Canis lupus familiaris: one gene and its partners. The protein of the gene in region 3 purifies or fractionates together with the protein of the main gene of each other region. This does not show direct contact. Links are inferred from orthologs where the notes say so. Each region holds a gene or a part of one and is shown on either strand. Other genes may lie near its edges.

Evidence for each region.
Region 1: the proteins of STK3 (region 3) and RASSF6 purify together in Homo sapiens (affinity purification with mass spectrometry; 4 studies listed by BioGRID and IntAct, counting the BioPlex papers as one, with this or other methods). This does not show direct contact. The link is inferred for Canis lupus familiaris from reciprocal best matches to the Homo sapiens genes STK3 and RASSF6.
Region 2: the proteins of STK3 (region 3) and SLMAP purify together in Homo sapiens (affinity purification with western blotting; 3 studies listed by BioGRID and IntAct, with this or other methods). This does not show direct contact. The link is inferred for Canis lupus familiaris from reciprocal best matches to the Homo sapiens genes STK3 and SLMAP.

The regions. Positions count from the first base shown.
Region 1 is NC_049234.1:63,355,635-63,361,853, reverse strand, and holds part of RASSF6 (ras association domain-containing protein 6), read left to right. Parts: intron 1-185; coding exon 186-283; intron 284-1,963; coding exon 1,964-2,148; intron 2,149-4,861; coding exon 4,862-4,963; intron 4,964-5,297; coding exon 5,298-5,349; intron 5,350-6,219.
Region 2 is NC_049241.1:32,992,067-32,999,046, reverse strand, and holds the start of SLMAP (sarcolemmal membrane-associated protein), read left to right. Parts: upstream 1-2,335; 5' UTR 2,336-3,014; coding exon 3,015-3,212; intron 3,213-6,980. UniProt on the Homo sapiens protein: Associates with the striatin-interacting phosphatase and kinase (STRIPAK) core complex, forming the extended (SIKE1:SLMAP)STRIPAK complex.
Region 3 is NC_049234.1:1,024,119-1,030,950, forward strand, and holds the start of STK3 (serine/threonine-protein kinase 3), read right to left. Parts: upstream 3,727-6,832; 5' UTR 3,537-3,726; coding exon 3,511-3,536; intron 1-3,510. UniProt on the Homo sapiens protein: Stress-activated, pro-apoptotic kinase which, following caspase-cleavage, enters the nucleus and induces chromatin condensation followed by internucleosomal DNA fragmentation.

The DNA of each region.
Region 1 (6,219 bases), about 62 Mb from region 3:
AGTGAGGACAGAAGTATATAAAGCACACGATGACCATCCTGGTGTAAATAGAATTTTAATAAATGAAATCATTATAATTTGGACTATGCCTACCTGTGGAGGCTCTCCATGCTATATTAATGCTATAAATCTGAAAACCATTATGAATAGAACTGATGTAATTTACATGATTCACTACTTTTCAGGGGAATGACACGCTGGGGGGAGTTTGACGATCTTTACCATATTAGTGATCTGGATAGGACCCAGATTCCAGAGCCTGAAGCAACAGTTTCCCAAGGAGGTAAGTATCAAACTCTTATTAATGGAGAGACCTCTTTTTTAATGTAAAGCATGAATCCTAAAAGTTTCTCTGATATTTAGCATTTTGCGCACCACTATTTAATAAAACTTTTATATTAAAAAAAACTCTTAGGATCATATTAAGTCACTACAATGCTCATATGATATTTAAGAACTTTACTATATAAAAATATGATGATTTTTATTTATTTTTCAAGATTTATTTATTTATTTGAGAGAGAGAGCATGATGGGGAGGGGCAGAGGGAGAGAAAGAAGGAGAGAAAGATGTCGAGGAGACATCCCACTGATCACAGTGCCCCACACAGGGCTCCACCTCATGACTCTAGATCATGACCTGAGTGGAAACCAAGAATCAGATGCTCAACCAACTGCACCACTCAGGCGCCCTACAGCTATTTTCAAAATTACACCAACTCACTTAGATTTATTAGATTAGGGAAAGCTAATGAATTGAATAAATCTGTATATGTAAAATTCTTCAGTATTTTCCCTAGGGATTAGGATCATTTATTATACTCAGTAGTTTTTTATGTTAGACCAATCCCCTCAGACTGAATTCTACATCTTTTTAGAAGGTGAATGTTTTAGTTAGTTAATAAGTCTTTACATAACACCATTTCCCCCAAAAAAGAGGCAGATATACTGAAATCAGTATATTTGATAGAGTCATTTCAACCATTTCTTTTAAAAAGAGAAATCAACTTAAACATCAAATAAGTTCATATCGAACTCACACAAACCAATGGTAAATGGCAGCTCCTATGACACGTGACATCGGTAGCCACAGTGATGATGTGAAGGTAGTAATATTAGTAGCTACCATTTACTGAGACTCTGCTAAGTGTCAGCCATGATATTGTGTATCTTACATAGATATGGGGAACCAAGAAGGGAGGAGCTGGTGACTGAGGCTGGGGGCAGAGTTTATGTTTCTGGGGTCGTCCTATTACAAAGCTGATTTCAGACTTTTCTCGTCAACATTATCTTATTAATCTACCAACAACTTCCAATGTTTATTTTTTCCAAGCCTTTCTCAACGCAGTTTTTTCTTCTGTCTCCATAAAAACCCACATTCAATAACTAACATAATGTTCCTTCCAAGATTCCCCTATCTTTGATGGCTCTTGGCATCTTTTATATAAAGGTCCTTCTAGTTAGCCTGTTGAAAACATTTCTCTAAACTCAGGGGAGGGATCCCTGGGTGGTGCAGTGGTTTGGTGCCTGCCTTTGGCCCAGGGCACGATCCTGGAGACCCGGGATCGAATCCCACAGTCCGGCTCCCGGTGCATGGAGCCTGGCTTCTCCCTCTGCCTATGTCTCTGCCTCTCTCTCTCTGTGTGTGACTATCATAAAAAATAAAAAAATAAATAAACTCAGGGGAATCCTAATTTCTTGGTATCGAAGATACCATAAAAATCTATTTGTATCCAAGCACCAGTGCTAGAGGAAGATAAAATATCTCAAGACTATTGGATGATACTCTAATTAATTAGGAAATTTTTTAAAATCCCAAAGTAAAACGGAACACTATTTCCTACTGTTTGAAAACATTATAGTTCACTGCCTAGCTATATATTTTCCTATTAAATACATATACAAATCCACCCAAGGAGGTAGGCGGCTAATGATATGGCCCTTATAATCTTTATTCTTCCCAGATTATTTATCTTATCACAGTAGCACTCTGAAGCCTTATGCAGAAGAAGAGCCAGAATCCCCATTGCTCTATCGAACCATGAGTGAAGCAACCCTGGTGAGAAAAAGGATGAAGTCTCCAATGATGGACAGAAAAGAGAGACAGAAGCATAGGGCCTCTATTAATGGGCACTTCTATAACCATGAAGTGAGTCATAATTCCATTAATGTCATTTAAATGATGTCTGTTTTCCTAACAATACCACTCAACTCAACTTACAATTAAAAATAGTAATAAAATAGTAGTAGTGTATCTAACATTTATTGGGTACTCACTATGTGTTAGGTATTAAACTGTTTTAAGTTGGATTCTGATTATCTCATTAATCACTGAAACAATCCTTTGAAATAGGTACCATTATTTTCCCTGCCTGTGTTCACTGAGGCTCCAGAAGTTAAGTAATTTGTCTTAGGTCACAGTACTTTTAAGTAGCAGCTCTGAACTTGAAGCCAGCTTTGTCTGACTCCAGAACCCAAGTATTAGCCGACGTGATGGATGAGCCCTATCTAAGGGTCTGGTTCTGTGCCAAGCACTATAAAGATGGCTCAGTTAATGCCTCTGCCCACATGGAGCTCGGGTCTCGGGCAAGGAAACCAGTACATCAACAAATGGCATTAGAATAATGTAAGGGCTGCAATAGAGAATGGTTCAAAGTACATTTGAACATTAACATTTAAATAAAGAAAAAAAAAACAGCTACAGACCTTTTATTCCAATGAATCAAATTTCTCATCTCACAGCGTTCCTTTCCGGGTCTTGAACATATAGATGTATTTTTTTATGTAAGCGTAGTTATACTTTGGATATAATTTGTATTCTAATTTTTCACTTAATGTTTTAAATTTATGTGTTCCTTTCCACAGTTTTTGTAAGACATTTCACTTTGTTGATGGTGGGAAATAGATCAGAACTGAAGTTTTTCATGTCATGTATTTCAGCAATTATTCATTCATTTAATAAATACTTAAAAAGCACTTATTCTGTGCCAGGTACCATCCTAAGCCCTTTAATACAAAATGTTAACTCATTCATCTGAAGCTTTTTTGCCTTGTTCTTTCTTCTACCCTTGGGAACATATCCAAGGTGCGCCTTTGGAGACTGGTGGGGAGAAACCTCCCTTGTGAATTCTCTGTTCAAATTCAACATTTTTCGGGCTCAAGAATTTCCCCTTAGCCATTGACAGTCCCGCATAGATGTGCAACTACCAATTGCCCTGGTTTTTATTCCTTATAATTATGCTGTGTCATCATCTTGTGGGGGTTGTTGGTGTTAAAGAAGGCTGTAAAGACCTCACTGTTCCAAATGAACAGCCGCCAGCGGGGCCCCCCTGTGCTAAGAATGAAATTGATGAGAAGTTGGCCGCAGAGTATCCTGGTTAAATGCTGGACGGCTGCAGCTTGACACCCTGATTTCAAATTCTTGATGACCGAAGTTAAAAAAAAATACCTCCATCTCTTAGCTTTCGTTCTTTTATCCTTCCTACTTTGCAGGTTGATGGGACTAAATGGAATGAGGTGAGCTAAGCACTGAGCACAGTGTCTGGCACAAAGAAAAACTCAATTTACATTAGTTTCATTTTTGTTGGTTAAAAGAGATCAAGCTGGAACCACACATATGTCATACAGATGCCATTCGCTGCAATTTAATAACTAGCAGAAAACAGAACAAACCCTCAAGCCCCAAAGCACTCCATCGGTGAACGTGCTGCAAGAGGCATCTAGGAGTTTAAGTCGATATAGTCATAAGATGTGTTTTTATGTCACAGAACCCCATGATAACACCAATATTGTTAGGATATGAATAACAGCCATATTAGAGACTTAGATTATGATATTTGTACATAAGTTATGACTATTGACGACCTGTGGTATGCTTCTACCCGTGCAATAAGAAACCATTTTATTCCATTGTGTGTTTTGGCCAAGTAAAACTCTGAAAAACATGATTCCAAGTTCATTGTATGTTGGCACTTTGGAAGGGCTCTTGGAGATCATCTAGTCCCACTCTCTTATTTTACAAATGAAATCCTCGAGGCTTCTTAAGGCCTCAATGTTAAGTGAACTAACAAAGTTGGAGTTAGGAGACTCTATGATCTAGGGCTCTGAGTCTTAATCTAGTGCTGTTGCCAAACTCCATAAATATTTTTCATATAAACAACATAATCATGTATGTAACATACTCTCGCCCTAGTACTAGATGAACACATGGGTCTACAGGACTCCATGGAACTCATAAGCACCAGTCAGATGTTTCACAGAGTGACTCATTAATGCCTCACAATGTGCACAAACACTGAATTTTCTCACACTTAGCAAGAATTTATCCCAGAAATCCTCCATATATCTGCTTCAAAAAGTTATCTCCATACCCATATTTCTATTCACACAGATGTTGTGCATATATGCACTTTGATATTTACTCACTGATTTCCCAATAAAAGGCTCATCTAACAATCCACTGAGCCACCCCAGAGCCCACCCATCTCCATGTCTGCTGAACCGAACTCATTTCTAGAGTCTTGGAACACTATTCATGTTACTTTGCATTTGTGTTTAGTCATAGTTAATTTAATTTAAAATCTTGAACCACATTGAACAATGAGATGGTTATCTAGTGAAAATGTTTCGAACATCCTCAAATGATGTTTTACCCGACTTACTCTAGAAACAAACAATGTAAAGCTGCTTAAAAGGATACATAATATCCCAACAACAAAGAAAGCAAGCACAAAAGAACAAAAGTTTTAAACTGGTGATTTGGGATTTTTTTTTTTTTTCACATAAGAGGGTAAGAAGGCCAGGTTCAACATATTGATTCTTGTTAGTTTGATGTAATGTTAAGAACTTTGTTTTCTTCCCAGACATCGATTTTCACTCCAGCCTTTGGGTCAGAAACTAAGGTCAGAATAAATAGTAATATGAGGACTGAAGAAGTAATAGAGCAACTTCTCCAAAAATTTAAGGTAATCTTTATCACAAAACTGAGCTAGAACTGTATTGGATATAATTTAACTGCAGATACATAAATGCACTCTTCTGAAGAAGACCTATCAACATATGATCTAAATTAAGTTGTTCACTTCTGAAGAATTCTTTCTTAAGTATAACATCTCTTTGTAAATGAGCCTTGAGAAATTACTTTAGCCCTAGTGAGCAGAGCTGTTTTCATGTCTAAAAGTGCAAACTGAGAGTGAGGAAACAGATTATTTGGGTCAGGTTAGTTTAGAAAACATCTGACAATGACCAATCAGTCAAATATGAAAGAATTCATGTACGTTTATTTTTTTGCATTGACAGATTGAAAACAGTGCCCAAGATTTTGCACTTTACATTACTTTTGCAACAGGTGGTAAGTTTGATCACTCTTTTTATATGATTCCAGGAGGTTGTAGTTTTATGTCCACGGGGGAGGCAGAAGACAGTTAAACCTCATTCTGTGGAAGAAAGGGAAAGAAAAGAGCAAGATGGAAACGAGGGAGGGTGTTTTAGAAGATTATTCATATCTCAATTTCAGAGGAAGGATAACTTAAGAATAAGGTATCCTAGAAGAGCTTATAATACAGAAGAGTTCATCTGCTATTTGGCCAGACATTAAATTACCTGAATGGTGGTCAGACCTGGGAGAGTCTGTGGAAAGTTCCCAAGGATTGTTATGCACTGAAGTTGTTGACTTCTATACCTCTTTCTTTTTGACTTTCCCTTCTCATTCTAGCTCTTACTGGAGCCATCAATGCAAACCATCTCTCTCTGATCTTGTTATTACCGCTTTCTTAGCACTGTGTCTGCGGCATTGCAGGAGTGTTCTTTCTCCCTCAGTAGAGAAAAATATGCACAACTTGGTGGTCAGGAGCAAAAGTTTGGCAGCTGGACATTGGGAAGAGGCTACACATGGGGTGCTGGGAGCAGGGATAAAAGAGAGATTAGAGAAAAAGCTAAAGAAATACTAAAATGAAATTTTTAAAAACCCTAAAGCTGAAAAAATTACTTTAAATTGTAGAAATATTTCCGGCTAAAGAGTCAGAGTGTTTGAACAGGAAATTGAACAGAATAAAATAATACTGGGACACCTGGGTGGCTCAGCTGTTGAGCGCCTGCCTTTGGCCCAGGGCGTGATCCTGCAGACCCAGGATCGAGTCCCACATCAGACTCCCTGCATGGAGCCTGCTTCTCCCTCTGCCTGTGTCTCTGCCTCTCTCTCTCTCGAATAATAAAATCTTAA
Region 2 (6,980 bases), on a different chromosome or scaffold from region 3:
GCACAAATAACATAAATTCATGCACAGAACTCATTAGGGATTTGTGGAGGGGCCTTTATTACTTTGTTCTACATAAGCCTAAAAGTTACCAGAAATGAAAACTTTTCATCTTCTTATATTAAAACTTTTCAACATAGCTTTATTTATTTATTTATTTATTTATTTATTTATTTATTTCCCAGAGTAAAGAACCTGGAACACAGTAGTAGTTCAATACCTATTTGCTGAACTAGTGGAGTCCTAGCAAAGTACACAAATACACAGGGTCTCTATACTTTATAATCGAATGCATATTCTTTTCTCCAGACCCACTTTGTGCCATCCCTACTTTATCCTGTGATGAGTTACAGTATGTAATTTTCATTCATGCATCAAGTATTTATTGTCACTATTATGTGCCAAGCATATGGGTCCACTGTTTCGAATAGCTTTGTTCCTTTCTCGCTAGTCTCTCTCCCTGGAAATTTAAGAAGCTCTTCAGCAAATACTGCATTGACCGTGGTTTCCCTACCTTCCTTCAGTTCAGTTACCTCCCCCAGAAGGCCATCCCTGTGATACCTCTAGTACTCAGGGCTTGCTTCCATCTTGGCCCTCATTACATCAGAGTGAAACCATCTGTGTCTATGTTTGTCCCCTCCCCCCCATCCCCATCCTACAAAACCCGAGGTGCGGTTTCAGGGATTGAGGTTTTTTGTTCACTTGTGTCCCCAGGGCCCAACACACAACTTTAGGACAGGTAAGAAACGGCCCAAACCCTAGATCCCACAATAACAAGTGAGTTACCCATGATCTCCAAGTTATATAGATGAGAAAAGGAGGCTTGAAAGGGTTTAGCAAAGTTTCAGAAAAAGCCCAAGGTCACACAGTGGTAGAGCCTGTTGTCAGAGCAATTTGAAGAATGAAGCCACCCTTGGTTCATAAATGAATAAAACTCCTTCCCACCATATCTTTTCTTGAAAAGTTTTCCTTTAGACCTCTGGAAGTAACACGATTTTAAACTTTCTGAACTCACACTCTTTCCGGGGTAGAATATGCTTTGGAGTCCTTGGGGGTGCGTGACAGGTCCCAAGAGAAGAAGGGCCATTCGAAATGGAATGCGGGGACTAAGTTTCTCTCTGAGGAGGATTCACAGAAGACTAATTTTTGATGCACAAGTCCTGAGACTTGTGGGAATTTGGGCACACCTAAGGCGGCGGTACGGGACTGTGTTGCCCACAGCTAAGATGACTGCAAATGAACATCTCCTTCGGATGGGTCTGCTCTCTTCGTTCATGGGTATTTTCACTGAGAAGTATAGTGAATACAATTTAGCAAAAGTTGGGGTCTTCTAGCCGAGCTGGTAACGTAGGAAGCTGGCACGTTTTGTCCGGAAAACCTTCAACAGGTCCACTTTTCCCCTGCCCTTAACAAAAATGGCCGTAAGGGTTGTCCCCAGGGTCTGAAGCTCCCAGCCCTTAACTAACATGGCGTCCGGAGGCGCGTTAAAAAGGAGCTTGCCCTCTCTTCTGCCCTTGACCATCATGGCCTCCGTGGCGTCGAACACGTGACGACCCCGGACTACGGCGCGGGAGAGGGGGTAGGAGGGCCCTTGAAGGGTGCGCGTTCCCGTGGCGGTGCACCGGGTAGGTTTCAGTCAGAGTCACTATGGCGGCCGGCGCTGGCAAGGTAAGCTGAGGCGGCGGCGGCGGCCGGGGAGGCTGGACCCGTCGTGGCGTCCGGGCCTTAAATCCCCGCAGCTTGTCCGCGGAGAGGTCGGCCGAGGTCGTGGCCCATCGCAGGGACTGGCGGGGGAGGGGGGGGGCGCGGGTGGAAGGGGGTGCGGGCTGAGGCGGGCGGGCACCGGCGCCTGACGGCCGTTTGTTTTGATGTTTTCCCCACCAGGTCGGAAAGTTTCCTGCCTTGTCGGGCACAGCCTGAGCCTGCCCCACCGGCCGCGAGTGGTGGAGGCTGCGGCGGACCCAGCCCGGGGCCTCCAGGCCTCTCCCCCAATCTCCGGGCCAGCCTCCCTCCCCCACCTTCTCGTCCGCTGGGAGCCGTGGCCGCCGTCCCTGAGATGCGACCCTCGCGGGGGCAACCCTGAGACAAGGCGGCCGGTGTGCTGAGCCACTGCCCGGAGCCCAGGCGTCCAGGCGTCCAGGCGTCCAGGCGCCAACTTCCTGCGGGCCGAGACCCCCGAGCCTCCCCGGGCGTGCGCCTCGCTCGCTCCGCACCGGCCTGCCCAGCCGGATCCCCGCCCTGGGCGCGGGGACGCCCGCCAGGTGCCCGGGAGTCCCGGCTCGGCCGCTGCCCGCGCCTTTGCCTGTCCCCGCGCCTCGCGCCGAGGACCCCAGCCGCCGCCGCCGTCTCGGCTCGTGCCGGGGACCCCGTGCCAGCTCCCGGGCGGTCCTCCGCGCAGCAGGAGCCATGCAGACCGTCCCGCTGGCGATCTAGACCCCCTCGCCGCCCCCCTCGGCCCTGCCCTTCCACTCCCGAGGCCCTTGAAGACGGGCGGTGGCTGCCCAGAGGTGCTCGGCGACACCTTCCTTCGCCCCGAAAGGACCTTCCTGGCCGCACGGAACCGACCGTTCCTTCATGCTGCAGTGCTGCAACGTTTCCGCCACCGAGGGGGAAAAGCGGCCGAGATCCCAAACAAAACACAAGAACTGGCGTGTGACTCATCTGCTTGGATACCTCCAGCCCCCAAACTGTCTTCCAGGAGTTTTCTTGGCCGAAGCTGTCTGATGTTCGAGCCTTCTCTTCCCAGGGAAGAAGATGGACTGAAAGCTGCCAGTTGGGGACTTTGTGCGATCAGGGCGCTGCTGAGTTTTAAAGGAGGTGATGGGGCTTGCGCTGGCTTGTCTTCCCACTCAAGTGAAGAGTTGTTGATGTTCACTGGTTATGCTTAGACAATGCGCAGTTTGTTTTAATTTAAAATTTTGGGGGGGATAGGAAGATAGGCTTGTGAAGGGCAGTCCGGATCCGGTGGAACTCCTCTTTGTCCTCTGGTAGGAGAGACACCCCCCAGTCTGTCCTCGATGCCGTCAGCCTTGGCCATCTTCACTTGCCGCCCGAACTCGCACCCGTTTCAGGAGCGCCATGTCTATCTGGACGAGCCTATTAAAATCGGCCGCTCCGTGGCCCGCTGTCGACCGGCGCAGAATAATGCTACCTTTGATTGCAAAGTGCTGTCAAGGAACCATGCTCTCGTCTGGTTTGATCACAAGACGGGCAAGGTAATGTCACCGTATTATCTAACAGTCTTTCCTTTTCGTTTCCCTTTGCTCCTTTTGCATAATGTATGCAGAATCCCAGCGTTTGCACCCAAGCGAGGCTTTTCAGCAAGGCCGTGGAAACCAACTTTGTGTGTGTCTAGTTCTACTGGAAGTTTAGTTGAGGTGGTTGAATGGAAAACAGAGAAGGTATTGTAATTAAATGCCTCGGGAGGGCGATGGCATCTTGATAATGTGGTCCTTCCCAGTGAAATCCCAAACCCTAATTCATTTTGGGGAGGGGGGTGGAAACTAGATAGTGAAACTTGGCTTCTCGCTTCCAGTCTTTTTAGAAAGGTGAATTTGCCGTTCAGGGCTTGAGTAAGCAAGCAGCAGTTCCCAAAGCAATGCAGGGAATCTATGGTCAGTGTTAACACTGAGGCTCAGGTGTCTCAGTGGTGAGATGTAGTTAACACAGCTTTTAGTTGAGTCCAGATTGGGGTCTTTCTAGGAAGGACAGATGTTTGTGTAAACTTAACATTTTTGACAGATTTGATACGTGTATTTACCCACGAAGGAGTAATTTGCAATTTTCAAAGCCAATTTCATTAAGCATAAACAACTGTAACTTTACATTTTCAGAGTTTTGTTTGCAGCTTGAGTGAACAGACATATATTGCTTTTGAAAATCACTTTTTGGCATTCCCTGCAAGAACTTATTAAAAATACCTAATGCATACTTACAGAGGAGATACTTAAAAAAATCAGTGTTAGGAAATTAATTTATTTTCTGAGATTATATCCAATTGTATCAAATACTGCATTACCTAGATGGGATAGGATGAATTTAATGCTCTTTAAGTGTGACCCTTTTGCATTTTTGTGTTGGCACCCTAATTTCCTTACCTGTAGGTGCTTATATTTTAAGAATAGAAGAAAACAAATAAGTCCCTTTCAATTTTAAGAACTTTTTATGTGTGTGGAGAATATACTAAAAAAAACTCATTTTTGTGCTTTTACCTCGGGTTTTAGTTGAACTACTGAATCAGTTCCAACTTTAGAGTAAGTTATGTAAGACTAATAGGAATACCTTGGGTTTCACCTCCTGACTTTTCCCTCCCTCTTTGAGTTAAATGATTATGTCTTTTTTAAAAGAAGAATTTAAGTTTTCAGTAGTAGTATTTTGAAATGAAAGAGACCTGAGCCTCAGAAAAAAAGAGAGAAAGCAATACTTCTGTTGCTACTGAATTAAGGAATTATTATATAAATCATTTTTCAGGAAAGGAGGAAAAGATTGTGCTTGCATAATACCTATGCCCTACTCTGTGTAGGATGAGAACTGAAAAATATGTTAATTTTTCTGTATAACACCAGATGTTCACTTACCTATGGAACAGACTCTTTTTTTTCTTCCCTGGAAACTAGAGTTTGGGTGTCTGAAAGACTTCATAGATTACCCATAATCATTTAAAATGAGTATTCATAGAACCCATCTTTCTAGCTATTAAATTCAAACATCAATTAACTGCTAGTGCCCTAACTCAGCCAGCTTTTTTCTTGTCTAAGCAAAGGTCCAACTTAATCAAATAATAGGTTTGCTTAAAGTACATAATCTGCAAATGCACCTGCTTTACTTTGGTACATTACTCAAAGGAGACTTAGATATTTTCTATTACTTATTTAAAAAATAGTGATTACGTGAACAGTAGTGCTTTTCATGGCTATACCAAAACCCCCACAGTAAGGTTATTCTGTGATGGCTAAGGCTAGATCCATATTGAGTATTGTATAAATTGAGATGACATGTTAAAAAAAATTTTTTTTAAAGATTGTATTTATTTATTCATGAGAGACACAGAGAAAGAGAGAGGCAGAGACACAGGCAGAGGTAGAAGCAGGCTCCCTATAGGGAGCCTGACGTGGGACTTGATCCCAGGTCTACAGGATCAGGCCCCGGGCTGAAGGCGGTGCTAAACTGCTGGGCCCATCAGAGCTACCCACATGTTAAAATTTTGAATGTAATTTGTAATTAGAAAAACTTATTTTTTAAAGATACACAGCTTATTTCCACCATTTTCACTTTTTTTTCTGCTCTAGCTAAAAACAGGATATGAGACCATTACTTTAGGTATAAATATAATTATTGATTATTGTACAACCTAATTTGTTAAAACAACCTATCAGGTTTTGCCATGTGATTGAATTGTTTTAGGAATTATTTAAAATTTAGATTTGAACAGACAGGTTTTTATTGAGCACCTATTATGTGCCAGATATCCTGAGGTACACAATTCCAAAGAAAACCCTCAGTTTGATCAAATATCATTTACTGTTTTTTATGTGTGAAATTTCCAGTTTGAGGATTTCTGCTATAATTGTCTCTTGACAAATAAGTCATTGAGCCTAATATATATTCCCAGCAAATTCCTTTATACAACACCAGAATCCCCAACTATAAGCATCACCTCAGGCAAGTTTTTATTTTTCAAACATCTCTAAGCCTTAGTTTTCTTTTCTGGGAATAATAGTGGTACCTACTATTGTTTTGAGGATTGAGATAATCATGTAAATTACTTAGCACCCTTTTCGTGGCCCTTATTAAGGGCTTAATACTTAGGAGGGTGTTTGAGGTGGTAGGAAGAGGGATTCATCTAGGCAGCTTTTTGCAATTTGCTCTAGTGCTGTGGAGTCTTAGGAAGGTAATGAGAATTGTTTTTCTTTCTTAAGAAAGAAAGTTTTTCTTTCATATGTGATAGCATATGTAGAAGTAATCTTTTAAATTGAAACATATGAAGTTGAGAACTTTGTTCAAATTGACACTTTCCCTGGGAGGTGGAAAATTGGAGTAATATACCTTTCTGATGACTTTTACCTAATGGTTTTTGCATTCTGCACTGGCCATTGTAGGAGACCCATTAAAAGTTGGAAGAAGTAATAGATGCTGAAACTTTCTGATTATTCAAGGAATACATATTCACTGCAGAAAAGCTGCAAAACATAGGCACATGGAAATCTAGGGCACATTTTTTGGTGCTAAGTTTGTGGAATGTGTTATGGTACTGAAAACCTGCAGGTTGGAGGGTGACTGTTTTGCCACAAAGTGGAACTCAATAAGCTTTCCTAAATCATCTGCTCAGGGGTGTAGGAGTCCATTATTGCCCTGCTTGAATGCTGCCTCTCTGAATCATTCTTCACTTCTTTTGGGAGGTCAAAATTAGATGGCAGATAATAGAATAGTTATTAGTCCTTTTGTTGACCAAGGGTACCACTGAACAAGCAAATCTGCCTGTATGGTGGTTACATAGAAGGTGTAGTGAGTAGACTGCCTTCTTCTGATGGTCCCACCTGATTCGAGGCTTTGTAGGCACATAATAATCTAGTGCTTGATACAGTAGTCCATTTCCACTCTCATTATAGTTTACATAGTAATTAGTAATACGTGGTAGTAGTATTCTACTTTTAGCTTCACATTTTTACTTAAATTCAAAACATATTTTTGAGCACCTGTTCTATCATGATCTGTTTTGGTGGAGGGCACAGTGGTGAGAGGGAAGAAAACAACAAGAATTGGTTAAAAATTGTTATTCCTTCTTTCTGGGAGCTAGTGTTTTGGATACAGAGGGGGACTGCTCCCCTTAAGAACAGTTGATTGAGATAAAATAGTATTAAATAAGTTTATTTTATTTTATTTTATTTTTTTTTAATACTCATCTTTATTTATTTATTTTTTTTAAAATTTTTATTTATTTATGATAGTCACACAGAGAGAGAGAGAGAGGCAGAGACACAGGC
Region 3 (6,832 bases):
ACAGCCTTGTTGGTGAGACCAAATCAATGATGTAAAGGTAAGAGCGGCCTTCCAGACCCTCTAGTCACAATTCTCAGATCTGGCTGCCCAGTGGACTCTCCAATTCCCAGAGGACAAGAACGATACCAAAGAGCAAAGGCAGGCCTAACACTGGGTCAGATATACATGAATGGCATGCTAAAAATATAAAGACATGTATGGTAAAGGAATAACAAATACTCAGTAACAAATACCCAAGTAGTGACAATCCTTTGGGGGATAGGGAGGGAATGTATCTGAAAACAGATATACTTAGGGACCTTCAACTATATTCACAATATTTTATTTCTCAAGTTGGGTAGCATAATACATAAGTAGTTATTAAATTAGTCCCCATTACCTTTTGAATAGCTAAAATTTTGTAATTAAAAAAAAGAAAAATATGAAGATGGCATATATTCAAATGGATATATTAGGAATACCTTAGGCTAGAAAGCACTCAAATAAGATTCTATATGAAGCCGGCCTTTAAGGAAGAATAAAACACAGATTCGTAGCAAAAAATAATACAAACTTCTCCAAAGGAAAAGCCTGAACAAAGGCAAAGTTGGGAGTACCCATACCCTACAACCTAAATAAAAAACAAAAGGGAAACTTCAGGACAGATTCATCTTGGAGAAGAATAACAAAAGCCTGGGGATTAAATCTGAGACCAAGTGATAGGGGTCTTGGATACTAAGTAAACAAGTGTGCCCCAAACCAAAAAATTTTTAAAAATTAAAAAAAAAATTTTTTTAAAGGGAATAGCATGGTGAAAGTGATGCTTTAAGAAAACAAATCAAAAGCCATTGCAGGCAGTGTCCTATGGATCATTAGGAGGTTCTGCAGGCAGCAAAAGGGGAGTAGAAGGAGATAAGGCAGTGAGAACCAGGTCCTAGTGCCTGCCTCTACTCCAAACACAGCCTTCCTGCTAAAAAATTTTTTAAACCACTGCCCTAAAGTACCTAGTTGGAAGGCATTGCTGTAAATCAAGTATGACGGTCATAAAACCCAGGTATGGAGTAGTAGTATCAAAAATGAAAAACAGAAAAGAAAATGAATCTAGACTTCTTGATGGAGAATTCAATAGGACTTAGTGACAAACTAGAAAGAATAATGAAAGAATGGATCTGCATAAAAATATCAAATATTCCAACTGAACACACCTGCTGGTCATACAGACTTGAACATCAGCAACATAAATGTGACCATGTAAAAATGTCTGAGCCCTAAGGAAGTGCTCCTATGCAAGGCAGAAAAGCAAAGCAACATTCTTACAGGGATTAGGAAAAGAACAAGCAGAGGGCCCACAGGATCGTACAAAGACATGGCCACCACACCATGGAAGGCTAAAAGAAGTGTTTTTAAAAAGAGGTATCACTGTACACAATGAGAGGGTTCACAGCCTTTGCAGCCAATCAGATTCAGGGTTCTGGCAACTCCTCCACTTGACCAAATTATTTAACCTCTCTGAGTTTCATTTAATAAGGAAAAAATAAACCAACATTTAGCGTCGTTCAACACATTATGGAGCACTGTGCTAAGTGCTTTTACACATGACCTATTCTAATCCCCGTAACACACTTTACAGATGAAGAAATTAAATTTAGAACTAGCGTAATAAGCTGCAGAGCCATGATTCCTCTTTCTTATGACAATAAAATAAAGGAATGCATATACAAATTTCCTGGGGGAAAAAATGACCTCAAAAATGGCATATTTTATTATTAGAAGGTAATAATCAATAGGGAGGACACAAAAACTCACTTTCAGTAATCCCTGTCATAGCCTTCCATGGAGCAAACTCTTTGTGTCCTCAGCTACAAAACAGGATTACTTCCTGTAATCAAACTTACGTAATAGGGTTGCTATGATGATATTATGAAAATGAAAATGCTATGAAAAAAATTTAAGTGACATTCAAATATATGGGCTTAATGTCACATAGCTTGCTTTCCAGAAATGCCTTCCTGGAACAACGAAGTCTGTCTGAAGAGAACTAAAAATGAGCCTGTTGGAGTGCAAGCATCACTTTGTAAAGTATAAATGACCATGAAATGGTTATATATACCACCCACATCTCCCCCTGGCCCTTCTAGGTTTTCTAGAGCCCCTGCAAGGCCAGAGGATCTCTTATACCTATAAAGAAACCGATAATTTACAGCCAATGAATGAATAGAGCTTCTACTTCAATTTGGAGTTGTTCAACTTGACCTTTGGGCATCATCTCAGAGGTGGCCCCCTTACAGTCCTTCCAAAACAGAGAAGAAAAAAAGTTTCCAATTTTCTTCTAAGATACTAAAACTGGGTGCCCAATCAATACGAGAATTCAATACAAAATACCAGACAAAAATCAAGGGCTCTGATAACAAGTCTCTTTTGGACGCCCTTCCACACACCCACCTTTTTTCACCTGAACAGATGGTTTCCAGGCCTCAAGGCTCACATGTCTAGTCACACGATTCACAACAGCTCACAAAGTTCCTACCTTTTTAATTATTCCATGTTCCTGAATATATCACCTTTCGTCTAAAGATCTCTAAGTATCAGAACACAGGAACTCCTTAATCTTCACAACAGCACTCTCTGGGAGAAAGATTAGTACTCTTATTTTATAAATTACAAATGAAAGACTGAGATTACATGTTTTAAACAACACCAGTTAAATGACGTTGATTCATTCTTGGGGGGAAAAAAGATGCACATTATGAATTTATATCTCTGGGCAGCCTTGATTTAGCTTGATCATTTCAAATACTACTTTTAAAAGTATCTACTGTGTACTCTCACTCTTCCAATATATCAAAGATCAAACTAACAGTAAATACCAAAGCATCACTACTTCTATATGCTAGAAAACAAAACAAAGCACTATGCGGGGAAGGGGTTCTAATTTAGGATTCCTACTGTCTCGCATCCATAAATACTTTTGAACTTGAGGGCGGTGAGGAAGGAACACCTGTCAGTGCGGTACACCCTCAAGGTCCACACACTACGTAGCTGTTCCTACGGAATTCCTTCGACGGGAAACAAATAATCCGCCTTCTCAAATAAATGGCAGTATCACGAGAAACACTGGACAAAAGCGCCGAGAAGGCTGCGAGCAGCCTAATGCATGCCCCGTTTCGCGTCCCGGGCTCCGAGACTCGCCGGGAGGAAGAGGCCCAGGAGCGCGGCGGGGAGGCCGGCGCTCCCCAGCCGCTCCCCAGCCGCTCCCCAGCGACTCCCCAGCGACTCCCCACGCCGCCAGGCCCGGCCGCCGCGGCAGACGCCAGGCTCGGCCTCCCCGCGGCGCCCCGGGCCTGGGGGCAGCCGCGGCCCGGCCCCGCCTCGCGACGGCCGACGCGCCCGGCCCGGGCCCCGCCGCCGCGGAGGGGTCGCCGCCAGCTCGGGCCTAGCCGCCCCCGCCCGCGGCCGCCGGCCCCCCCGCCCTCCCTCCGCTCCCGGCTCCCGGCTCCCGGCTCCCGGCTCCCGGCTCCCCGCGAGCGTTACCTCTTGGGCGCTGGCGGCTGCTCCATGGCGGCCGGCGACAGAGGAACGGCCCCGGTGGGCGCTGAAGGACGCAGGGAGGACAGGAGCCGGGCACCGGCCGGCCGAGCCCCCGAGTCCCCGGGGAAAACCTCCAGGAACTCGGACCAACTTTCCCGTAAGTCCGCGGCGGATCCTCCTCCCGCTCGCGAGCGCCGCGGCCTCCGCGCCCCGCCCCTCCCCGCCCCGCCGAGCCCCGCCCAGCCCCGCCCCTCCGCCGAGCCCCGCCCCTCCGCCGCCCGGGGAGAGTGGGCGGAGCCAGCGGCGGCCCAGGCTGGTGGGCGGAGCCGGGCCCTGATGGGGCGGGGGCGGGGGCGGGGGCGGGGGCGGGGCCGAGGCGGAGGCGGAGGCCGAGGCCGAGGCGGAGGCGGAGTCAAGCGCCGGCCCCCGAGCTGCGAGCGGAAAAAGGGCGCGGAGACCCGCGGACCAAGGCCTAGTTAGGACCCGGGGCCTGTCTGTGCTGGCCGGGGGCGGGGGATGCACCTTCCCTGGAGCCGCTGAGAGCTGCCGCTCCGCATCTGCCTCCGAAAATTGGCTTTTGCCCCAATCCTATTTGACTCATTTCTTCTCTGGATTTCCCAAAGACACATCCCAAGCATCTTGTGCAGCCTTTTGAAGTGTCACTAACTGCCCACGCTTCTGTCTCTAGTTGTTTATAATTATGGGCTGTGTTTTACGCCCGCCCGGTTTGACGTTTGTAGCTACAGCACGAGGGATACTACTGGAAATTCTTGTTTGATGTTGATTGTGGACAAACTCCTCACTACATTTCGCTATAATTACGTCTGATTACAAAGAAAATTAGGACTGCGGTGAGATCCCAGTGCACAGATTTCATGCACTGTGGTCTTGCCAGCTGTTCGCTTGGATCACCTGGAAAACCTAAAACAAATTATGGTGCACAGAAAAGAAGTCAAGAAAAGTTTCTCTTCCTTCTTGTCACCTGTCTCCCCCAACCTTTTCCGAAGGCCCTGACCTCATTGTGATTTGATCCCTTCCTGCATCTATCTTTTTAGGATACCATTTAACATGAAGTTCCGTATATAAATATCTTTCTTATGATCATCTAAGGTGCTATGTAATGAGTTTGCTTTCATTAGAAATTATCCAGGTGTAGAGTCATAGAGGTTTCTTGAAGGTTAGAGCAAAGTCTATGAAGAGAATGTTAAATAAAGGAACTTTGTGAATATTAATCCAAATTAGACTTGTCTAATAGTCGTTTTCCTCTTTTTTGCATTGTTTCCATATGTAATAAACTTACATGATTTATTTTTCAAAGCACTATATTCCCCATTAAATTTAGTTATGTTAAATTTAAGACCATTCGTTGTTGAACCCTGAAGTCAGGTTCTGCAAAAAAGAGATTGTTATAAAATTTTATACTCCTTTTCATTTACTAAACATCGACGGACTTATAGTTCAGAACTAACAAGACAGCAAAAAGCTAAATTATTAAAACACAAAAACTAGGAAAAACTTTTGAAATTATGTCATTCTATCCCTCACTTCTCATCCTCACTTCCATGCCCTAGTCCCATCTTCTTCTATTTCATCAAAAAAATCTTTCAGAGAACAGCATTTAATCTTCTTTAAAAATTGTCATATTTTAAAATGGGATCAAATTGTCATACTTTAAAATGGACTCTGAATTATGCTATGAATCTTAATCTCCAGAAAGACTTTCCCAGTCAAACCACCAGCACCACCACCCCCACTATCTCTGACATTTAAGTTATGAAAGAGATGCCTCTCATCTATATGCCCATAACACACTGTGCTGGTTGTACTAAATTAAAGTTCTGTTTGACTATCATTCCAGCCATGAGTCTGCTGAGAATTAGACTATGTTTACCTTCTCTATCCCTTGCATAGCAGGTACCTTGGATATAGTAAGGTTGGATAACTTCCTTAGCCCCCCAGATTCATTCTCCATTCTTTCCCATCTGCCCTGTGCCCTAAGGGTTGACCTATATGGCTGACATTATGGAGCTCTCAACTCTCTGGCTTACAATAGGAAGACCCAGCAAGAGATCATCTGAGGGAGAAAGTAAGGCTACGTATTCTCCTGATTCCCTTCCAGTGAGGTCACCTGGAGCCCAGCTTTCATTTCTTCCCCTCATCCCTTTGGGCCTACAGGTAGTGAGTGCCCTGCTATTCCCTTGGTCCCTCTTCTATTTCCTATGTTCCCCTAGACCTCAACCGTCCTAATAGAGCCCTGACTGAGATACCCTTTAAGAAGTTTAGAAATAATCTAGAAGGAAGGAAGGAAGGAAGGAAGGAAGGAAGGAAGGAAGGAAGGAAGGAAGGAAGGAAGGAAGGAAGGAAGGAAGGAAGGAAGGAATAATATCAGAAAATAAATCTCTGGGGCCTTCCCTCAGTTTGAAAAGGAAGAGTGCTAGCAACTGGTGTATGATTCTAACAGGGTCAGACAATTGGCTAACATTATCTCATTAAACCCTTAAAACTGGGCACCTGGGTGGTTCAGTGGTTGAACATCTGCCTTTGGCCAGGCCCAGGGTCCTGGAATCAACTCCTGCACTGGGCTCCCCCCGCAGGGAACCTGCTTCTCCCTCTGCCTGTGTCTCTGCCTTTCTCTGTGTCTCTCGTGAATAAATAAAATAAAATGTTAAAAAAAAATTTTAAAAACTTAAAACTACCACTGAAAGTAGTTATATCTATGTCATAAGTGAAGAAACTGAAGCTCAAAGGGGTGAAAGGAGCTCCCCCAGGCCAAACAGAAAACGGGCATTCTCTAACCCAGGCCTTTCCAACTCCAAAGCCAAGCCTCATTCCACTGTAAGTCAACAAATGTTTACTGAGCTCTTATGTATATTGGATACTGTTCTAGGTGCTGGGAATTCCTCAGTGAGAAAAACAGACAATAATTCCTTGTCCTCATGAGGTTTAGATTCTGGTTGGGGAAACATAATAAAATAAATAAGCACCTAATTAATAAGATTAGGTATTGAAAACTGATAACGAAGGAAAGTAAGGGATGCCTGAGTGGCTCAGCAGTTGAGTGTCTGCCTTGGGCCCAGAGCGTATTCCTGGAGTGCTGGGATCCAGTCCCATGTCGGGCTCCCTGCATGGAGCCTGCTTCTCCCTCTGCCTATGTCTCGGCCTCTCTCTCTCTCTGTGTCTTTCATGAATGAATGAATGAATGAATGAATCTTTAAAAAAAAAAAGGAATAAAAGTAAAATAGGAAAAGGGATACACCGTGGAGGAGAAGGCATGAAATTTAGAAATGGGCAGCAGGGAAGTCCTCAGCAAGAGGGAGGCTGGGGA